Oryzias latipes: one gene and its partners. The protein of the gene in region 1 binds, or shares a complex with, the protein of each later gene. Links are inferred from orthologs where the notes say so. Each region holds a gene or a part of one and is shown in the gene's direction. Other genes may lie near its edges.

Evidence for each region. Proteins that work in one complex are often made in the same cells at the same time.
Region 2: surfeit locus protein 1 (region 1) and cytochrome c oxidase assembly factor 1 homolog share a complex: the UniProt entries of both Homo sapiens proteins name them as parts of the MITRAC (mitochondrial translation regulation assembly intermediate of cytochrome c oxidase complex) complex. The link is inferred for Oryzias latipes from reciprocal best matches to the Homo sapiens genes SURF1 and COA1.
Region 3: surfeit locus protein 1 (region 1) and cmc1 share a complex: the UniProt entries of both Homo sapiens proteins name them as parts of the MITRAC (mitochondrial translation regulation assembly intermediate of cytochrome c oxidase complex) complex. The link is inferred for Oryzias latipes from reciprocal best matches to the Homo sapiens genes SURF1 and CMC1.
Region 4: surfeit locus protein 1 (region 1) and smim20 share a complex: the UniProt entries of both Homo sapiens proteins name them as parts of the MITRAC (mitochondrial translation regulation assembly intermediate of cytochrome c oxidase complex) complex. The link is inferred for Oryzias latipes from reciprocal best matches to the Homo sapiens genes SURF1 and SMIM20.
Region 5: surfeit locus protein 1 (region 1) and timm21 share a complex: the UniProt entries of both Homo sapiens proteins name them as parts of the MITRAC (mitochondrial translation regulation assembly intermediate of cytochrome c oxidase complex) complex. The link is inferred for Oryzias latipes from reciprocal best matches to the Homo sapiens genes SURF1 and TIMM21.

What each region holds. Positions count from the first base shown.
Region 1 is NC_019870.2:7,761,603-7,765,761, reverse strand, and holds the start of surfeit locus protein 1, read left to right. Parts: upstream 1-1,359; 5' UTR 1,360-1,468; coding exon 1,469-1,522; intron 1,523-1,641; coding exon 1,642-1,705; intron 1,706-2,390; coding exon 2,391-2,518; intron 2,519-2,604; coding exon 2,605-2,687; intron 2,688-2,922; coding exon 2,923-3,114; intron 3,115-3,194; coding exon 3,195-3,267; intron 3,268-3,826; coding exon 3,827-3,989; intron 3,990-4,159. Other genes in the region: surf6 (surfeit locus protein 6), read right to left, coding at 1-50, 1,144-1,231. UniProt on the Homo sapiens protein: Component of the MITRAC (mitochondrial translation regulation assembly intermediate of cytochrome c oxidase complex) complex, that regulates cytochrome c oxidase assembly.
Region 2 is NC_019875.2:5,297,554-5,301,722, forward strand, and holds the start of cytochrome c oxidase assembly factor 1 homolog, read left to right. Parts: upstream 1-1,369; 5' UTR 1,370-1,526; intron 1,527-1,548; coding exon of another isoform or gene 1,549-1,574; exon of another isoform or gene 1,575-1,649; intron 1,650-2,011; 5' UTR 2,012-2,024; coding exon 2,025-2,118; intron 2,119-2,323; coding exon 2,324-2,475; intron 2,476-4,169. Other genes in the region: blvra (biliverdin reductase A), read right to left, coding at 1,549-1,574. UniProt on the Homo sapiens protein: Component of the MITRAC (mitochondrial translation regulation assembly intermediate of cytochrome c oxidase complex) complex, that regulates cytochrome c oxidase assembly.
Region 3 is NC_019874.2:13,407,157-13,411,146, reverse strand, and holds the start of cmc1 (COX assembly mitochondrial protein homolog), read left to right. Parts: upstream 1-1,190; 5' UTR 1,191-1,329; coding exon 1,330-1,348; intron 1,349-1,711; coding exon 1,712-1,804; intron 1,805-3,990. UniProt on the Homo sapiens protein: Component of the MITRAC (mitochondrial translation regulation assembly intermediate of cytochrome c oxidase complex) complex, that regulates cytochrome c oxidase assembly.
Region 4 is NC_019876.2:17,386,078-17,390,160, reverse strand, and holds the start of smim20 (small integral membrane protein 20), read left to right. Parts: upstream 1-1,283; 5' UTR 1,284-1,365; coding exon 1,366-1,474; intron 1,475-3,313; coding exon 3,314-3,370; intron 3,371-4,083.
Region 5 is NC_019878.2:15,518,283-15,522,375, reverse strand, and holds the start of timm21 (mitochondrial import inner membrane translocase subunit Tim21), read left to right. Parts: upstream 1-1,293; 5' UTR 1,294-1,308; intron 1,309-1,417; 5' UTR 1,418-1,439; coding exon 1,440-1,722; intron 1,723-2,856; coding exon 2,857-2,919; intron 2,920-3,050; coding exon 3,051-3,148; intron 3,149-3,257; coding exon 3,258-3,331; intron 3,332-3,799; coding exon 3,800-3,905; intron 3,906-3,991; coding exon 3,992-4,084; 3' UTR 4,085-4,093. UniProt on the Homo sapiens protein: Participates in the translocation of transit peptide-containing proteins across the mitochondrial inner membrane.

The sequences.
Region 1 (4,159 bases):
CTTCTTCTTCTTCTTTTGAGGATCAGTTGTGCTTTTACCTCTGTAATAAACTTAAAACACACAAACAAAAAACCTTTTATGCTCAAATAATGCATATTTACAACAAAAACAATTAAAACACATTTCATACAAAAAACTGATGTGTTCGGCTGCACCATCAGACTGACAGGAATAATTCAGATAATAATAATATTCAGATAATGTTCCTCAATTACCAGCAGTGGCAGGTCACACTGTGTTTGACTTTTCCCCCATTCAGAGATGGAATTTATTGGAAACAGCTTCTGTTTTTATAAAAGTCATATTTTCTGGGTGTTGGGCTGATGGCGGAGCAGACAAATGACTCACACTAGTGAAAAAGAAAGTCAGTTCTGTCTTGGACTGCCTGTTGGACCTTATTAAGAAAATCGAGGTCAGAGGTCAACCTTTACATACGTTAGGAACAATGCCTCACATCCTTTGGACCACACTGTGGAGGGATCCAAGAGGCAGCAGGACTCTCTAATCAATCAGCCTAATAATAAAAATATTAACAATATTGATGGGTAATGACAAATAGTCTTTTAAATATGAATATTTGTTTTTCTTTTAAAACGTTTTAGCTTTGTATTTTTTGCCTTATATCATATTCTGCATTTCTGTTACCGAAACTGGGATGATTTTAGTAGTTTAAATAAAGGTGTGAAAAATGTCTTATCTCATTTTTATAAGGCTATTTTTATTCATAATGCTGCAGAAAAATAGGAATTTTCCAAGTAGTTTGTTCCCAACATCAAGAATTTATTTAACAATGTAATTAATTTCTGATAACATAACAATTTCATAGGTTTTGCAATAGGTTTTTTTAAGTTATTATTAGGATTTCAAAATAAACATGACAAAAAAAATCACCAGCAAAACATTCGACAAGTAACCTAAAAAAAAGTTTATTTAATTAAAAAAATAAAATGTCTTTCCTCCAAGTAGGTAAAAGTGAAATTACAGTAAAGCATTAAAGGAATTTGGCGCCTCTTTTGGTTAACATGGGTATCACACCAGAAGTGCATTATGGACTAACTCAATGTTTATAAAAGAACAACAAGCTAACTTTCCTCCGTTCTTCCGTTAAAACGTTTTAGTAAATAAATGGTTAGTTGAACTTACCAAACGGTCTCTCTTTAGATTCCTGGTGCTGATGAAAGACTTTACTTGCAAATTTCTGAATGTACGCGTCCTTCGCAGCGAGGTCCATGTTAAAAAACAGATCTAAATTGTTTAAATCAGACGTAGGAGTGGGAAAATAAGTACATTTGATAGTCACGAACACATTCCTGTGCGCACGTGGGAACCTTCGACAAGTGGGAGGGACGAACAAACACACCGGAAGTAGTAACACCGAGAAAAACTCCGGGCACAAACACATCAATGTAGCTGTTATGTAGTTGATCTTCAAACCTTTTCTTGATTATATTCATAATTATGATCAACCATGGCTTATATTAAATCCCTAGTAGCCTTTTCGAACAGGCTTCTTCACAAACAGGTGAGTTTTTTATGCTTAACCTTAATTTTGGGTGTTTTTTTAATCACCGTCAATTTCAAAGTCATGATGATACACGAAAAGAGTGCATCTAATTTCAATTTGTGTTATATTAAATTTAGTCCCATCATGTTGTTTACATCCAGAGGAACCTTTTTCTGCCCAAACTCTTGAAGCGTTCAAACGGTAATACATTTATTACTATTATGATATTTTACCAGATGATTTTATGTGGGTTTTTAGAATGCTAGGAAATGTTTTGCCTGTATGATTTGGTTTCTATCTACTCCCTCTGTAGCGTAAATCCTTTATATCTCTACATTTATTGTTTTTGTGGTGGCATATTGGTGGGGATTAAGTTAGAACGTCTACAAAAAGCAAATATTATTACTTTATAAATATGCAAAATGTAACATAGCAAAAAAAGTAAGTAAATTTGTTTTTGGTAAGTCTCTTTACAGGTTGTTAGAATGTATCATGTAAATAAAGCTTTTACTTTGAAAACCAGGTTTTATACTTGAAATTTGTTTCTTATTGGAATTGAAATCAAGCACTTGTGGGATGAGCAGCAGATCTGACAAAAAACTAAAAATAAACCAAAAATATATATACAATTATTGCTACTGATAAAGAGGATGTAGATTGTGTTTTTAGAGGTTTTTTATTTTTAAAGTTGGAAAATGTTATTTGCAAATGTGGTATCACTAAAGGGGGTTATAAGTTTAATATGGTCTAATAATATACTTTTGCCAAGAAGTATTGTTACAACCAATCTACCAAATAGATCAGTTTTTGTTGTTTTATTTGAACAAATTACATTCTGTAATCTTTCCCCATTTATGTATCATTTCTGTTTTTTCATGCTATGTAGGCAGGGTTTTCAGCTTTGGGCGTCTGTGCAGCTCTACAGCAGTCAAAGCAGACAAAACTGAAGACTCGTTCCTCAAGTGGTTTCTGCTGCTCATCCCTGCCACTACTTTCGGCCTCGGTACATGGCAGGTACATCCAGATTTAGTTTTTACTGAACTTGTTTTCCCCTCTGATGTGTAGATGTTTTATAAAATGATTTGATCATGTTCGTGCAGGTGAAACGGCGTCAGTGGAAAATGGGACTGATCGATGATCTGCACCGCCTCACCACAGAAGAACCCATTCCACTTCCACTTGAGTAAGTACTCAGATCTGGGTTCGCATAAATAGATGATCACAACGTCGTTTCTGAGATCGAGGCTATATGTACTACTTGCATGTAAATTTTCCCCACAAAGTTGTCAAAGTGTCTAAATATCTCAATCTTTTACAGATATTTTAACATTCATTAATATTATCAAAATAAAAGCAAGTATGTAAATTTTGTGTTCCCTTTAGCCGGTTTTACTTTCCTTTCTCATCCTGTGTCTCAGTCCTAATGAGGTGAATAAGCTGGAGTACCGGAGAGTGAGGGTGCGTGGGCGCTATGATCATTCAAAGGAGCTCTACATCATGCCGCGCTCCCCTGTCGACCCAGAGAAGGAGGCCAGAGAGGCTGGCAGCCTGTCTTCAAGTGGAGAGACCGGTGCCAACGTCGTCACACCATTCCAGTGCATCGACCTCGGGTAAGGAGCTGCAAAAGCCGTCACGGAACCGAACGCACACAGATGCTACAAGTTCTGCTCCGTTTGTGTTGTCGCTGCAGCATCACGATTCTGGTGAACAGAGGATACGTCCCCAGGCAGAAGATCAGACCAGAGACCAGGATGAAGGGGCAGGTCTGAGTGATGTTCTTGAAGAAAAATACGTTTAACATGTGATTTTAATACAAGCTAATACAGTTGTGCTCTGAAGCATTTCTAAAGCTTTGCTTTTATTGTGAAAGTCACTGAGCTTCCTCAGTTAACCACGTACATCTCAAGTTTAACTGAACTTTTTCTTGCAACAACGTTACACAAAATGGGGGGGGGGGGGGGTCTTTTTAATCTCAGATTTCTGATCATGAAACTCCATAAAGACAGTGAAAACTGTTCAGCTAGAAAAGGGAAAAATAATAGAATCTACTAATTGAGTATAACTGAACACCTTTTAAAGCAATATTTTACCTTTGCTGTGTGGTGTTAAATAGAATTTTGAAAAATATTTAGTAAAATAGGCTGTTGCATTGAAATATGTAGAAAAAGTAGAGTGTTCTACACATGCTTTACATAAATCATAGATCCTAAAATATTTATGTTCCCATTTTTTAAATGGTTTATTGAAAATAGTCTGATAAATGCTGTATAGTTTTTGCAGATTCTTGCACTGTCAATCAAGTTTTTCTGGTTCTCCACACAGGTGGAGGATGAGGTGGAGGTGGTCGGCATCATCAGGCTGTCGGAGAACCGGAAGCCGTTCGTACCAAACAATGACGTGGAAAGAAACCGCTGGCATTACCGGGACCTGGAAGCCATGAGCCACGTCACTGGAGCCGCTCCCATCTTAATCGATGCAGACTTTGGTAACTAATCTGGTGTTTTCATCCCACCATTTTAAAATCAGTAGATGTGAGAGTACTGTAACAGGGCTAGAGCGGTTGACCTGAAGTTTGGTTCCTGCCTTGCCCACCCCTGTGTTGACATGACCTTGGGCAAAACACAGAGCCCCACATTGCTCTTGTGGTTAAAGGCT
Region 2 (4,169 bases), on another chromosome or scaffold:
CCTCTTCTTTTCTGTCCAGTCCAACAAAAAATGTATACAAACATAAAGAGAATAGATGAAGTTTAGCCTCTAATCCAAAATGGGTTTATGTAAATATACACCTTGTGTGTCCGAAGATTCATACCCCCTAGTCCACAGGAAGCAGCATCACACTGCTTAAATGGAACCATTATTAAACCAAAACAAGGCCATGGGTCCGAATCCCCCCCCCCCCCCCCCCCCCAATTCACGTGTATTTTCTCATACATGAGAATGAAAAATAAACTTTTAGGACAGTGGTTATTGTTAAAACCCACTCCGATGAGAATTGTATTTTGGGTGTTAACATGTTCTTTTAGAACATTCTGAATGAACATATATAAAGATTAAAGTGGCTTTTTCCAAATAATTGAATCACGAGCAGATGGAAAAATGCAGTTGGAAAAACTAAACCTAACTCACAGATTTACTGTAGTGTTCTGCCCAACATCACTTCAATACTACATTACTGGAAGAGCTGGGAATTGAACCAACAATGACTGCTTTCACTCCCAAAACAGCAGTCGAAGAGACGGTTGAGAGGTTAGTATTCCTCGTGGGTTTTTTGCCCTCAGAGCCCTATGGGTGATGTCAGAGATCACCAGTCCTGTCCAAATATATCTAGAAGCATCATCCTGTTTTTATTAATATGTATCTGTTAACAGGTGTGCTTCATTTAAATGTTTCTCCGTAATGTATTCTCTCTAAAAATCATCTCTCTTTGCTAACGGCCTCCCCGATGGAGCTTATCCAACTTCAGTAGTCCCGCTCTTCCATCCATTCGAGGACATGTATTTAACTCTAAGACACAACTCCTACCACTTTTCTTAGCAAAGTCTGAAACACTGACATCCCTGTCTGCATGGTGGTGTTGTCTCCTGCACATGCAGTCTGGTGCAGCTCTGTGCATAAGCTACTTTTCCTCTTTTCAGCAGCTTCTCAAAGGTTTCGAAGCAACAACAACACAACAGCCTGAACAATGAAAAATGTTCCATATCCGTGCTGTGTATGGGGCGGCATTCTTGTCCACGCAAACACGTAAACATGATGTACATTTAGTAAACCACAGGTGCTCAAAGGTTACCCGGATCGCAGTCAAACACTTTGATTAGAGTGGTGATAAAACCCGTTTATTTCCATTAAAATGGTGCAGAATATAGACCGAAGAAAGAAAGCCAGCTTTTATTAGCAGTATGAAGTTATCCTGCATGTCCAGGAAAAACTGAATTGTAAAGAAGACTGTTCCATTTTCCTCTATATTTCATCTAGTGCAGCGCGTCCAGAGTCCAGCAGGGGGCAGTAAACAGCCTTTGTGCGGCACAAACCCCCGATAAGCATAGAAGAAAGAAGACAAAGGCCACCGTCCCTATTTAAACCCACGTGAACACGTGTTACGGACGGATTCCGGATCTAACCTGCAGCAGAGCGGCGCACGCTCACGGAGAACCGCGCAAACGAGGGGGAGGGGTCAGGGAAGAGCACGCGCCGGTAGAGCCGCATGTGTTCAGGTAAGAGTGACACTGAACTCACCTGAGCGCATTTGTCCGCCACAGCATTCATGGAGAGGCCATTTCGACCAGCTGACAGGACATTCCCGATGACGTAAAAGGGCCCCGCCCAGTCGGTGCCTCGTAGTCGGTGATTTTTTTTTTAGAAGCATTTTTTTACATCCCAATATTTTCAACAGTGAATGCTTTATCTTTATTTTCGGATTTTTGGAAATGTTTCCTCCTGCAGGAGAAAAAAAAAACATCAGAACAATGTTCCTGTTTTCTCTGGGATTTGTGTACACTGTTCCTGTTTAAATAAAGTTTCAACAAATTAGAAACCAGGACAGGACTCCAGAGCTGTAGACCTAGAGAGTTCCTCTCTATAAGTCATTTTTCTGGCAGCATCCTCTGATGATTTTCCCTCCATCATGTCTCTCAGGTTGGTGTCTGCAGCTCAGCCGCCATCGTGGCTCCGTTTCATCTGTCTTTGCTTTTTTGTGCAGGAAGAGCTGCACCATGAGGGTCCCCATCCACCATCTGCAGAGGCTCACCATCTTCACTACCGTCCTGACGGGTGGGGGCGTTGGCACCATGTACTACCTGATGCAGAGTGAGTGCATGTGTGCGTGCACGCGTTGAAGCAATAGTCTGTTCAAAACAGAAACTCCTGGTTCCGCTTTACGGTCTGAAAGTGGCTCTGGTTTAGGAGTGGAACCCGCAAATGTCTTGGTCTGTCTCTCTGCTGCAGCCCCTTCATGTCTCTGTGACTCATGCACACGTACGTGCGCATGCTCTCTTTTCTGCTATCTCGTCAGAAAACTTTGCTGGGAGTGAATACCATCAACTCGCTGTGCGACAGCTGAAGGCGTGTCCTGTTGCCATGGAGAGCCTTGGAGCCCCGCCCTTACGAGTTCATAACATCCATCTGACTGACAGATACAACCGTGTGGACCATCAGGCAGCCCAGGTACAGTCTGTCAGGGGGGTGTCCAGCCGCTGTGTGATGATGAGTAAACTGACCAGTTTCTCCATTATCACAGGAAGATGAAAAATAGGATTATTTTTGCTAACAAAGTATTAGGCAGAAAAAAATATTCACAAATTAATTCTGTGCATTTGTATGCAGCCTGCTTATGCCGACATAACAGAAGGCAGAATAAATCCAGTTTAAACACACAGTTTAGTTGTGTGACATCCTCCAGAACAGGAAAAGCAGCAGAATTCTAGTTGTTACTTGTCAAATCTAGGTCTGAAACCTGTCCCACCTCAAATTAGGGCTGTGTATTGGCAAGAGTCTGGCGATACGATACGTATCCCAAAATTTTACCAAAACATATTTTCTTTTTTTCTTTAAATATGGCTTTGAAAAAACTCAACCTGAATTTCAATATGTCATCCACTGCAATAAAATGGTCAAATTCAGTTTATTAAATGATCACAATGTTAAGCGCTGCAATTGCGTCTCATGTATAAGTTCCATTTACCAAAGCAAATTCATAGTGCTTTTATTTTGGTAAGTTAAAATATAGAAAGGGAACAGTCAACATTGTTTGATTTCCACAACAAAATATTTTTCAGTATAAGAAAAACAAAGAATGAATGAGCCTTAACCAATAAGTTTCTATTGGGCAAATAAAATGCTGTTTATTTTCAACTTTGCTTAATGTAGCTTCTCCATTACTTTTAAACGGTTCAGGAGTCAGAATGGTGCTTCAAAAATAAAGGGTGGGGTGTGGGGGACACACTGATTATTTCCAGAAACAATAAAGTGATGATGAGGCAGCATGACGGAACGACGAAAAGATGCTTTAATGTGACAAAAGTGCTTTGTTTACATATTATCAGTCTCTGCCTGTGCTGCACCTTTGGCTTTCCAGCCACGCTTCATCTCACACGGAGGTAAACTAACGCTCCTCGCCACGATGTCGCCTTTTTTCAGAGCGTTGTACACATTCCTCTGATCCATCAGGTCGCTAAACTAGAATCTATTGCTGGGATGTTTTGCAGAATTTTAGCCCGCTTTGCTGATTAGCAGGTTTTTAGCCGATGCTAAGCGCATAAGCCTCTTTAGCCGCTGCCGTGCTTCACTCTTATTTATCTGAGCCGCTAAAAAGCATCACAATCCTCGTTTTTATATGTTGCTAGAAGCAACATATAAAAAGCAACATGGCTCAGAGTTTCTGTTTGGTATCCATCGCAAGTAAAAACGAAGTATTTCATGTCTCATAACAACAGAACAAGCTGCCTCTGGCTGCAGTCTTCCTGTTGTCTCGTGCAGAGTAGAGCTGCTCTAAGAGGCTCCGTGTTCTCTGCTGCCAACTAGCGGTCAGAGGATGAAGTGGAGAACAAGAGTCAGACGCTGAAGAGCGCTCAGAAATAATTAAATAAATATCGTTCTGGCAGTAGGGTTGGGCGATGTCCCTTAAATTGGCCGTTGACGATGTTTGCTGTCAATCATCGGTATGGACGATGATATCGTCGTGGGGGGGGCTATTTTTAATATTTCGGTCTTATATAATTGCTATTCGTTGTTTTACTTTATTACTTTATTTATTTTATTTCCCAACTAATGACTCATCCGCGATGATCCAGTATAAACTGAGGGAAGTGACTTTAACAAAAAAAGTAACAAACAAACTAGAAAAGAAACGGTCCGCTCCC
Region 3 (3,990 bases), on another chromosome or scaffold:
ACAGGTTTGATTAAATTTTGTAAGGTTTTGAAGAAAAAAAATTAAACAATTTAAAAAATTGTTACAAAAAATGTCCACTTTTAGACGTTTTAAAACTTTTCTAGACATATATATTTTTTTGTACACTAACATTCTAAAGGTTTTCATGTAAAAAAAAGGATTGTTCTGATACCAAATTAACAGAACAAAGACAGTTGATATATTAACCTTTTTTGGAAGACATTTTAACAGAACTGTGAAAGAAATACACCAATTGATGACCAGTATAGAATATAATGGAATTTGATCAAATGGCTGAATTTTTCTCTGTTTGCATCACTTAAATGACTTTATTTTGCTGCGACTGATTTATTACAACTCTTCCTTAAAACTGCTTTCATGATTTATTCAAGGTATAAGTACTTACTAATGACAAGTCGTTTTGGAATTTTGGGCTTCAGGAAAAAATTGCGGATGTTATTTACTAAATTTGTGGTAATTAATCATTCAGTATCCATCCAGCAGAGAAAACACAAAAAAGGATAAGCTTGGTACTTCCAATTATATTGCTTAAATTATAGTTTTAATAATCTAATTTCATTTAAAAATGTTGTAACCTACATTTTGTTTCATACAATGTAACTCCTTTAGTAGTCAACGTCTGTTATTTAAATCCAGGTCATATATAAAAAAGATAATTTTAGAATGATTAAGGAAATGTTAAATAATTAAGTATTTACCCAGAAAATGGTCACTACCATTATTCAAAATAATATAATATAATATAATATAATATAATATAATATAATATAATATAATATAATATAATATAATATAATATAATATAATATAATATAATACAGTATAATATGATATAACATTACATAACATAACATAGTACAGTATAGTATAGTATAGTATAGTATAGTATATGATATGATATGATATGATATAATATAATATAATATAATATAATATAATATAATATAATATAATATAGTAAAATACAGTACTATATAATACAATACAATACAATACAATACAATACAATACAATATAATATAATATAATATAATATAATATAATATAATATAATATAATATAATATAATATAATATAATATAATATAATATAATATAATATAATATAATATAATATAATATAATATAAAAGTTTATTTTGCTTAAAAAACCTGACTTCATTCGGAAGAGGCGGTACTCGTTACCACACCGTGTTGTCTATGGGATTTGTAGTTTCATTCTTCTTACGTCAGCGGAAGTGTTTTCAGCGTCCGTTAGCTAGGTCACATTGATTGCCTCTGTTTTGTAATGTTTTGAGAGTCCCCCCATAATGGAAGCAACAAATACAGGTATGTAACGTCCTTTTATTAAAAAAAAATGCCTCGTCAAGTATAAAATGTATTCGGTAATTTCACCATAAAGATGAATATGTTATCTGGATGATAACTACTAGCCATTCCTCGGTGTCTTGCCATGATCATGCATGACGTTAGCGACATATCGATCCACGACGTTTTGGTAGTTGCAAACCGAACTCCACTTTATTTTTATTAGCTACATTAAATGTTTTGTAATTTTGCACATTAGGCGTTGTACCGTCATGATAAAGCCGTAGTCTTCATCAGTTTAATTTACTAATAAACCGTTTCCATCATCCTCGTTTGGCACACACATCTCTCTTGTTTACCTCCTTTTCTCCTGATCTGATACAGAGGAGGTCCATCTGAGACATGTGGAGACGGACGTGCTGATCCCCAAGATGATGAGGGAGAAAGCCAAGGAGCTTTGTGCGGACAAGGTTGATGGTGTGTTTACAGATAACTCAGCAAATACCAGTGAGCTGTGGGTTAAGCTGACTCCTTCTCTGTACAGCACACACAGATTCGTCTTCATTGTGGCCGTCATGAAAGGAGATCTTGATCACGTGTGAACTTTGAGTGACCTTGAGATCTAAAACCAAAAAAAAAAAAATATTTTTTCATTTTTCTGAGCAGTGTAGGATTTTATTTCACATTAAAACCTCTTGTGATGTTGCTGTCACCACATTAATTTGGACCAGCAACATCCACAGAGCTTGATGAACGTTGATGGCATTTTGGAACCGATAAGCGTAGGGGTGTCAAACTCATTTCCACCGAGGGCCACATCAGTATAGCAGCTGTCCTCAAAGGGCCGGATATAACTTATACATGTAACTAAATGTAATGAAACATACACGTAACTACTCCTTAATGTTAAACAACTAATTTATTTATTATTTATAACTTTTGAAAGTGACAATTACAGTTGCATAGAAAACATATGTTTGCTTGTTACTCTATCATAAATCCTTTTAAATTTGATTCTGTCAGGTTAGGTTATATGGACAGTGTTTAAGTCCTAATGTATGGTTGCCCAATCTGATATTTCAAGGCAGATTCCCCCCCTATATATATAAATACACACCAATTTTTATTTTTTATTTTAAGAAATCAAAAACTTTTATGCTCTCGGGGGCCACATAAAATGACATGGAGGGCCACATTTGGCCCCCGGGCCTTGAATTTGACATATGTGGATAAGAGGAAGGGACTCCTGTTGTAATGCCACTAAATCAACAGTTTTCTGATGGTTTCACAGTATCAGCAAAGTCTCAATTTTGGCCAATTATCTTTACATTTTTGGTCAAACCAAAAAACTCAGCACCTTGATAACACTTAAATATTAGAAATAATGATGTCTAACATGAGTTACTACAAATATAATGTATAAAAAGAAACAACAGTATAAAACACTGCAGAAAACAATAGTAAAATACATCTTTTTCATTATCACTGGTGTATGAGTAACCATCCTCAAAACTCTGGACATTGTACTTTTATTATTCATTTAATGTTTATGACTTTTTTTTTTAAATATGCATCCCTAAGTGCAGAACTCTTAAGATCACCAGTTTTTTTTCTAGTAAAGATTTGTGTTAATCAAATCAATTATTTGATTTCTAAAGCATCAGGTTAACGATTTGAAAATGGCATTAGACTTTTAGTCTCAAAGTCTTTCCATTCCTAATTTTTCCTTAAAATTTAAAGAAGTAAGGGGATAATCTGGATCAGTAAGTTTGACCCAAAAGTGAATTTAGTAAAAGTCTTGTTTGAGTAGGGCAGCATTTCATTAAATTAAATTCTTTGAGTTAAATTTATAGTAAAAACCTCAGAACAAATGGTAATGCAGGCTATTTTCAATAGTTGTTTCTTAATAAATACAGGTTTGTTTGAACGCGTTTGTATTTTTTAATATTTAATATTTTCTGTTAAAAAATAATTACAAACAATGGGACTGATTTAGTTGTGGCTAACCAGCATATTTTACATTAATAATAGTTTGACAGTTATATTGGCAGTTTTTTCCTCTTCTTGGGTCTCTCCTTTCTATTCCTTAAACATTTGACTTGTGTGCTGCTAAACTTTTGCTGTGAATTATATTTAAAGGCCAGGCTAACTGGCATGCCAGCAGTAACTACATCATCTGCACAGAAACACTGCCCGTAGTCTTGCTCGTGCAGTGCTACAGGGCAACTGCAGCGATGCATCAACCAGAGTGACTAAGTTATGTGGTTTGTAAAAATCTGATCACAGCCAGTGTGCGCTGCTTACGCGAGGAGAAGGGTGCACATTCAGGCTGGGGTGATGGGACAGACAGTGGCTATGTGGTAATGGAAACCCCCCTCATCTTACAAGCTTCTCGTCCCACTCATTTTCACACCTTCATCCTCCACCCTCTCATGCTGTGTGCTTGTGTCTGCACACGTGTGTCTGTGTTGGAGTTTTACAAAGAAACGTGAAAAACGCCTGGCAGCACGTTCACTGTGTTTTTGTCTTTACACACAAGCAGCCCACACTTGGATTTTGTGGGCTTTGAGAAAGGCGCGTTCTACTGACCCCAACCCGTCATGATTTTTCCCACTGAATAGATGATTCACGCTAATATTTTAATGTCTTTCAGAACAGCCTAC
Region 4 (4,083 bases), on another chromosome or scaffold:
CGTGTCCATCAGATCAGTCACCGACCAAACACTTTGCCCAAACCATTCAGCACAAAACAAGGACTTGTTTCTATGGAGCATGTATTCATTGTTCCAAATAGTACTTAAAAATGGCGATGCACATACAATATTTTCCAGTATAGCAGAATTGTGGAACTCTGATAATGCTAGATTGAAAGATTGGTTGTGTTTGATCCACGATTTTATCTATAGGATTCCGTTACGGCAGTCAAAATTCATAACTTTGAGACCACCATCTTTAAATTCTTTGACCATATTTATTTTTCATGTAATGATGCTTGTTTCTCCAAATAAAGTTTAAAGTCATTTGGCAGATGGATTTTATCATTTTGTTTGGGATGGCATTAGAGTAAGATGGGTAAATACATCTTGACAAACACTCCATCTTTGTCAGATAGATCCGGCCCTGCATCGACATGTCTCTTTGGAGCCACATATTTAACTCTGTCTCACATTCATCCAGTTTTTCACCCACATTCCTTGATTAGCTTATTTTTTGGTCTTTGGTGATGTAGATCCCCAAGTATTTAATTTCTGATTTAATGGGCATATGATTGATTTCTTTTAAAGGTGTGTCATGAATAGTCAACAGTTCACAATTTCTTTAAATTTAAGTTTGACCCTGACGCTTTGGAAAAGTGTTTTACTTTTTCAATAGCTGCTTTGATTTGATGCTCATCTTTTAAAAACAGTGTTGTGTCATCTGCTAGCTGGCCAATAATAAGCTCTGTACCCAAGACATTTAACTTTTTGATGTCATAACAATTCGTAATATAAATGGCCAAATTTCAAGATTTCCAAGAAGACTTGATACAGTAATTTTCTGATATCTTCCCAAAAGTGTCTATAAAAGTCGCCTGTGAGCCCATCTGAACCAGGAGATTTATTAAGAGAGAGTCGATTAATGACAGCATCAAGCTCAGAGATTAAAAGTTGTTTATCGCATGTTTGTTTAAAATTGTCGTCTATTTTGGGGATGTGGGGAATCTCTTTTATAAAGTTGTCACAGTCTGCTCTTGAAAATTTAGAGCTGTAAAGGTGGCTATAAAATCTGTAAATTTCTGAGGATACAGCCTTTTCATCTGTAATTTCTATATCATTCACTAGAAGTGATTTTAGGCTCAGTTTAATAGATTAACATAATTTTACTTTCATAACCCCTAGCGTTTATCTATCAAAATTGATATACAGTGTATTGCTCTGTGTTCCTTGCTGTTTGTCATTTTTGGTTTTTAAATAAAGATTTGTCAAAAAAAATGTGACAGCGTAACCTTTTCCCCGGAAGTACAAGTTGTAAACACGGGGTGTCTTTAATGCTAGGTTACGTCCTACCAAGCTAGAAAAATGTCGAAAAATATAAGAATAGCGCTGATTTTTGGGGGTTTTATAACAACAGTCGCCGCTGCTTTATATCCTATTTTCGTCTATCCTCTGACGCACAGAGACGAGTACAGTAAGTAGCTAACAGCTTGTATTTATTTATTTTTTTAGCTCTTATACAATGTCATGTAAACGTCACAAATATTTTTATATATTTTCTAAAGATATTCTCCTAAATCAAACTAAAGGCTGTTTTGAAAAAAATATTTGAAGTACCGGTACTGAAGTATTTTTTTTTTTATTTAAACTGCTTTTGGAAGCTAGCTTCTAACTTTTAGCTAGCTAGTAGTTTAATTCCATTTGAGTATTTTGTCCTCAAAGCTGAAAATAAGCAAACTTTTAAAGTAATTTTCCTCATAGGTTCTATGTTTTTCCCCCAAACATGTTTATAATTAAAAATAATACAGTCAAAATGATGCAAATCTAAAGATGAAAACATGAATAAAAACAGCTACAGCAAAAATAGTACAACAATAGAAAACATGTTTGAAATAGAGCAGGAAGAAGCTTATTTATTAAGTCTGCCCAAGAAAAAGACAAGAAAACGACTACTAATACTGCTTCTAGTACTAGTACTACTATTAAAAATAATAATAGAAAAAGAGAAAATCAACTACTACTACTAATAATAATGTGAATAATGATGATAATGATAATAATAAATAACATAAATGAAGGAGAAAGTACAATTAAATAAAATAAAAAAAGCTATCTTTTCAGCCGCTGCTATTTAACAGTTTGCATGCACACCGATCATGATCTGATTTCAACAGTAGTCTGCTTACTGAGGTGAAAAAAGCCTGATATCTTTAATGGATTATGGCTGGTAATAGTATTTGGGCCAGATGTCTCTCCAAAAATTCTATTTCCTGCTTCAAGGATTTATGTTTGCCTGATTTATTTTAAGTTTTTCTGCATCGGATGTGGGAAAAAGGCAGTTCAAATAAACTTCTGAAACAAAAAACAACAGAAAAAGTTCATTCTTAGGCATCAAAATACACAACTAAAAAAACAAATCTGACTGTTCTTTATGAAGGTAAATATGTTCCAAAAAGAACGCACTTTTGATTTGATGTGAGATCTTGTAATATAGAATGTGAATACTTGCACAACAAAATTCTGCATCTTTGTGTAAAAATCTTTTGCTGTGAACTGAGAAATTCCCATTTGCATGTGTTCATTTAGAGTTACAACGTCAAATATGTGATTCCAACTGCTCAAATGTGCTTCTGCGTCTGCTCGAATCTGCTGGCGCAAATCACAAGTGCGCTACAACTGCGCTCTGAATTCTGACACATTCCTTGCAAGAAACTTGTGTCAAAACTGATCTGTGTCTGATAATGGAACTGGGGGAAGGGAGGGTTAGAGGAGGGGGGAGTTAACCAATCAGAGTGCAGCACTCAGAGGATTTGGTAAAGTTAGAAAGATGGTCACAGATTCGGACTTCCTGCTTGAATAACTCTTCCAGAAATCTCCATCTTTGGAGAAATCCAGATGTGTTCATGTAAGCAGCAGGATCTGAAGGTTTTAGGTCAAACTGAATCCTAACTACTTCAAGCTACTTGAGGTCACACTATAATGTCACGAATGAATCAGGTTTTCTGAAATTAGCTCTTTAAAGTAGGATTTTTTTTAACTGTTATATTATTTAAGTAATAATAATATTTATTTATTTTTTCCATGGATTTTCTGCACCTTTGCAATGTTACTATTATAAAAATACAACCCCTGTAATGATTTTCACAATCACCGGCAAATATGTTCCCTAAACTGAAGCTTTAGACTCTCCTTCCTTAATTTTTTTTAAAAACATTTGAAATCAAACATTTCTAGAAATTTTTTGAAATGGATCATAGCATGAAAATTTTCCCTAGAATAAAGAATCTAACTGAAATGCTGTGCTCCTTTTTAGGACAAACTCAGAGGATAAATCGGTCCGGAATAAACCAGGAAGATGTGCAGCCTGTGGGTAAGAAAAGGTCGCTGAATTCAAAAAAGCGGGTGAAATGATGCTTACAGGAGCTTTGACAATACTGGTAAAAAAAAAAAAAAAAAGAGAAATGTTTGGATCAACTTTCCTCACAAAAGAGGAATCTTTTTGTATATTTTGTCATTCCAAAACACTTCTTGGGTCCGTTTTTAATCAATTAAAAACAATAAACAAATGTTTTTACTTTAAGTATGGATGGCAGATTAAGTGAAATCAATTTTTGAAAAGAATCTGTGAAAGTATTTTGGTCGGATTTCTTATCCTTAACAAAAAACGCCATGAAAGCGAAACAGTTTGACATTTTTATTGGATTTGAGTCACAGAAAAGTGAAGGCAGCCCGGCTGCTCTTTTAGATCAACTTTATTTTGTCACAGGATCACTTTCTACATCCTCTGTAATCATTTGATAATTACAATAATGACTAAAATGTCCACATTTGGCCTAAACATTTTCTGAATTTTCTGAAACTCAAAATTAAAAAACACATTGTTTGGAGCTAAATTAAGAAATAAAGCACAAGTTAAAAACCATGTGCAACTGCATTTGCTGTAGTATTTTGTTTCTTTTGTAACTTTCAGTTTAATTACATTATTTCTTTAATCTCCATTTATGATTATTATCTTTTTAATAACTATTGCGGGATTTAATATCTATTAAAGCAAACGTCTGCTCTGCAAAGCACTGATTCTAC
Region 5 (4,093 bases), on another chromosome or scaffold:
AATTGACCAGTTTTGTATTTGACCAATCCCCTGAGGAAGAAGGAAGCTGGTGTGACAATGGAAATATTTTGTTCAGTGGCAGTTCTACACTGACTTACAACCCCCCCCACACCCACATTGACCACATCGTTTTGTGTTCCCTATTTTTAATTAACACAAAAATCAACACAAATGTAAGAATTTTATATACTCGTATTACAAGGGTGTCAAACTCAATTGCACAGGGGTCCAGGTTGTGGGCCGAACAGGATAAACATTTAGTGAACACATTAAAGATACGTTTTCAAACATTTTAAACTTATTTTGAACAAAAATTTGAATAAAAACAGACAGGAATATTGTTTCGGAATAAATCAACTTCAAGCAGCCCCAAAAATGTAATTGATAATCACAAAGACACTAAATAACATTGTTATAAAATCTCAATCATGTGGATTTGCTTTCAGGAAAGTGCAACTTTAATTGAAATAGGAAAGAAAATATATGCATTTATCAGATGTTTCTGAAATTTGTGGGAGTGCTGACTCAAACAGCCATTCAGCAAATACATATTCATGTCTGCTGTGCATTTAAGTCCTTAGCCAGTAATGCTGTAGTGAGCAGTAATTTGTTTTCCTTTCATTTTTTATCAACATGAAAGGATCCTTTTAAAATAAATTATACCTGTAATTAAAAAAAAAACTTGTATTAATTAAGGGTCTATTTAAAGTATTTACATAATCCTAAGTACCAAGTCAATAAGTTTGAAACCTTAAGTGAATTATTTTTATGTTGAAAAAACTCTGCTTCTAATTAAGTATGTCTAAATTGTTGCATGTTTTGTTTTTTTGGATTTATAACTTTGTTTTGTCTCAACACGTTTTACCTTTGTTATAAAACATAAAAACTGTTTGATCTCAATTTTTTAATCATTGTTTTAGCAGAAAAAAGACCACATTTTTTCTGCTAAAAAATGTGGTCTTTTTTCAAGAATTCTTGAATCTTGAATCTTTAGCAGAAAAAAGACCACATTTATCACTCAGAATTGACTTTTTTGGACAGTTTCAACTTCATTGTGGAGTTATTGTGCAGTATAATGAAAACAAAATCAGTAAAACGAAGTGTGGGTTTTTAAAAAGAGGATGGAAATCAAGCATTGCCGCAAAAACCGATTTGAAGATAAATCAATAAAGCGAAATACGACGTAAGGTCAAAAAAGCCCCAGACCACAAATAAGGCTGCAGTTTGACATCCGGGACAGAAGGGGGCAGTAGCCATCTTTAGAAAATCCTCGACGTCTGATCGACCCAGCAGGTCAGTGAATCAGAGGTCTGAATGGCGGTTTCCAGCATTGCAATTCCATGTTACCATGAAAGACCGCTGTTATTTGATTCTTATTTTCAGTAGATGAGCTGCTGTTTTCTTTTCTTTTTTTCAGATATTGTCCGTCGGATAAAATAATGTCTTTCACGCACATTTTAAAAGCCGTGCAACAAAGTGTGCGGAGCTCCGGGAAAACATTTCTCCCCGTGCAGCAGGCTGGCGTGCTGTTGTTCACACGCAGAGCAGGAGCGGTCATCCCCGGCCTGTCCGTCCGTGGGTCAGAGGCTCCTGTGTCCGCCCTGAGCTGTCTCTGTCAAACACGAAGACGCTTTTCTGTTCACGTTATCCTCAGAAACAAGGAGGAGAAGCACAGGTCTGTTTCTGCCTACCAGAGTCCTAAAGTGTCCTCTGCTCAGAAAGGTATGCCCATTTCAGATTTGTGCAACTAAACGCATATTTACTGTCTTGTCTCTTTAAATGGGGTTTAAAGCTACTATTTTATTTAGAAAAAACTAAAAATCTTGTTTTAGGACCGCCCATTTTGTTTTCTTACAACCAAAGCTGCTTTCAAAGTTTCTTGGCAAGTAATAACTCCTACTCCCTTTCCTGTGGTGTTCCTCAGGTTTCTGTTCTGGGCCCTCTTTAGTCTATACCTCATTCACTCACTTTATGTACTTCATCTTTTTCATGTGATTTATTGATACCTAAAGATTCTTAATGACCTGAAACTGTGTTGGTAAGGTATAAATATCCGCTTAGAAGTTATGAACCGGATACTTCATGTAAAGAAAATGTTAAGTTTGATAAGTTTGCTTCCTTCCACTCCCTTTCAAGCCATCTTTAATTAAATGACTAAATATTCTATGTTTGATACATCTTAGTTTGTATGGATGTTGATTGTGTAGTTTTCAGCATTGTTTTTGCTTTGGTTGCTTGAAATAAGCAATGCCAAATCCAATTGAACAAGGTTTATTGAAAAAAGAAAAGAAAATCCAAATTAATCTTGAAGATAAATTCTGCATTAATTCATCAAATCAATGGATATATTTCATTTTGCATTTATTCCAGCATTGGAATATATATATTCCAGACCAAGAATTTGCTCCTTTATTCTATTTTTATGTCATTATTTTTAAAGTAATGAAGTAATTACTAACTCTGGTAACGTTAGGTTGGGGGTGTGAGGGGGAGCGGGTAATAGGTTGGTGATGGGAAGTGGAGCAGGCTTGCTCCACGCCAACAGCACAGTGGTCAATTTCTATTGAACTACTGCTGCTCTGCAGAAACTAACTAACTAAAGATCTTTAGGACTTGTCATCATAATACCTCGGGGCATACTAGAGGGCCAGACCTAACGTTATGTTGATGAGTTCCTCCTCCTCTTGTCATCTCTTATAGCCGCAGTCTAATAGAGCTACCCGTCTGCACAGACACACAGTTTCCTTTTATATCAAACCTGGAATATTTTCACTCTGGGTTAAATTTTGCTTATAAATCTAAACTCTTCCACTATGCATTGGCCACTCAAGAGCCTCTGCTCTGTTTGTCTTTCAGTCAAAGATGCTGGGAGAGACTTCACCTACCTGATCGTGGTCCTCATCGGGCTTGGAGTAACAGGTGAATTGAACTGCACGAGTCCAAGGAATGGCTACACAACAATCCCACATTGCTTGTTTATATATTTATTTATTTGGTCCCAGAACACACAACCTAAATAATCAGCTGCAGTTTTCTGCTGTGTTGGTCAGGGGGGCTGTTATATGTGGTGTTCCAAGAGCTGTTTTCCTCTACCAGCCCAAATAAAGTCTACAGCAGAGCCTTTGACAAAGTCAGGTCGCACCCAGAGGTAAAAATCAAGCCAGACGGCGTCTCCTATCAATATTTTTTTACTGTTGAAATGGCTAGAAATCATTGTTTTTCCAAAATAAAAGTAAGAAATACATAATCAATTGCAGGTTATTGGGGCATTTGGAGAACCAATTAAATGTTACGGTGAGACCACCCGCCGAGGGAGAAGGCAGCAAGTCAGGTGTGTTGACACTTTATCTTATCTTATTGAACTTTTTCTTACTTGCAAAATGTTGCTTTAGCATTCATTGATTCATGGTATAGAATACAGTAAATCTGATCAAACTTGGCATAACAAGCAGCTGCCTTTAGTTTTAGAGGAAATGCTTTTGCAGGATTTGAAGGACTTCCTTTCAGAATCACAACCTGTGAACATCAGCTATAAATCATATTTTCAGCAGCATTGAATTTCCTTCAACGTTTATGCAAAACTTGTCATGAAGGAGAATTTAGTTTCAGACCCCACAGCTATGAAACATAAAAGTTTTTATTGTCTTTTGAAGAGCTAACGTGGTATTCGTGCTGATTTATTGTAAGCATCTGAGAATCTGGAGCTCTGGAAGAATGGAGTTACAAAATGTTAAGGTTATTACATATATATGTTATTGTTGGAGTTTTTTTATTCCTTATTCTCATATTTCCACTTCAGTCACGTGGAGTATGTAAAGGATGGACTTAAGCACATGAGACTAAAGTTTTACATTGAGGGATCGGAGCCGGGCCTGAAAGGGACGGTGCATTCAGAGTCTAAAGAGGTAAGTCTTTATTTAAATGGAAACCTGTTGTTTCTTGTGTGGATTTTTTGATCAGTTGAGATAATGGTATCCTTGTTGTTTTGCAGAATCTTGAAACTGGAAAGTATGAATTCCGTTATGTATTTGTAGAAATAGATACCTACCCGAGACGGACTATTGTTGTGGAGGACAACAGATGAGGAGCTTTT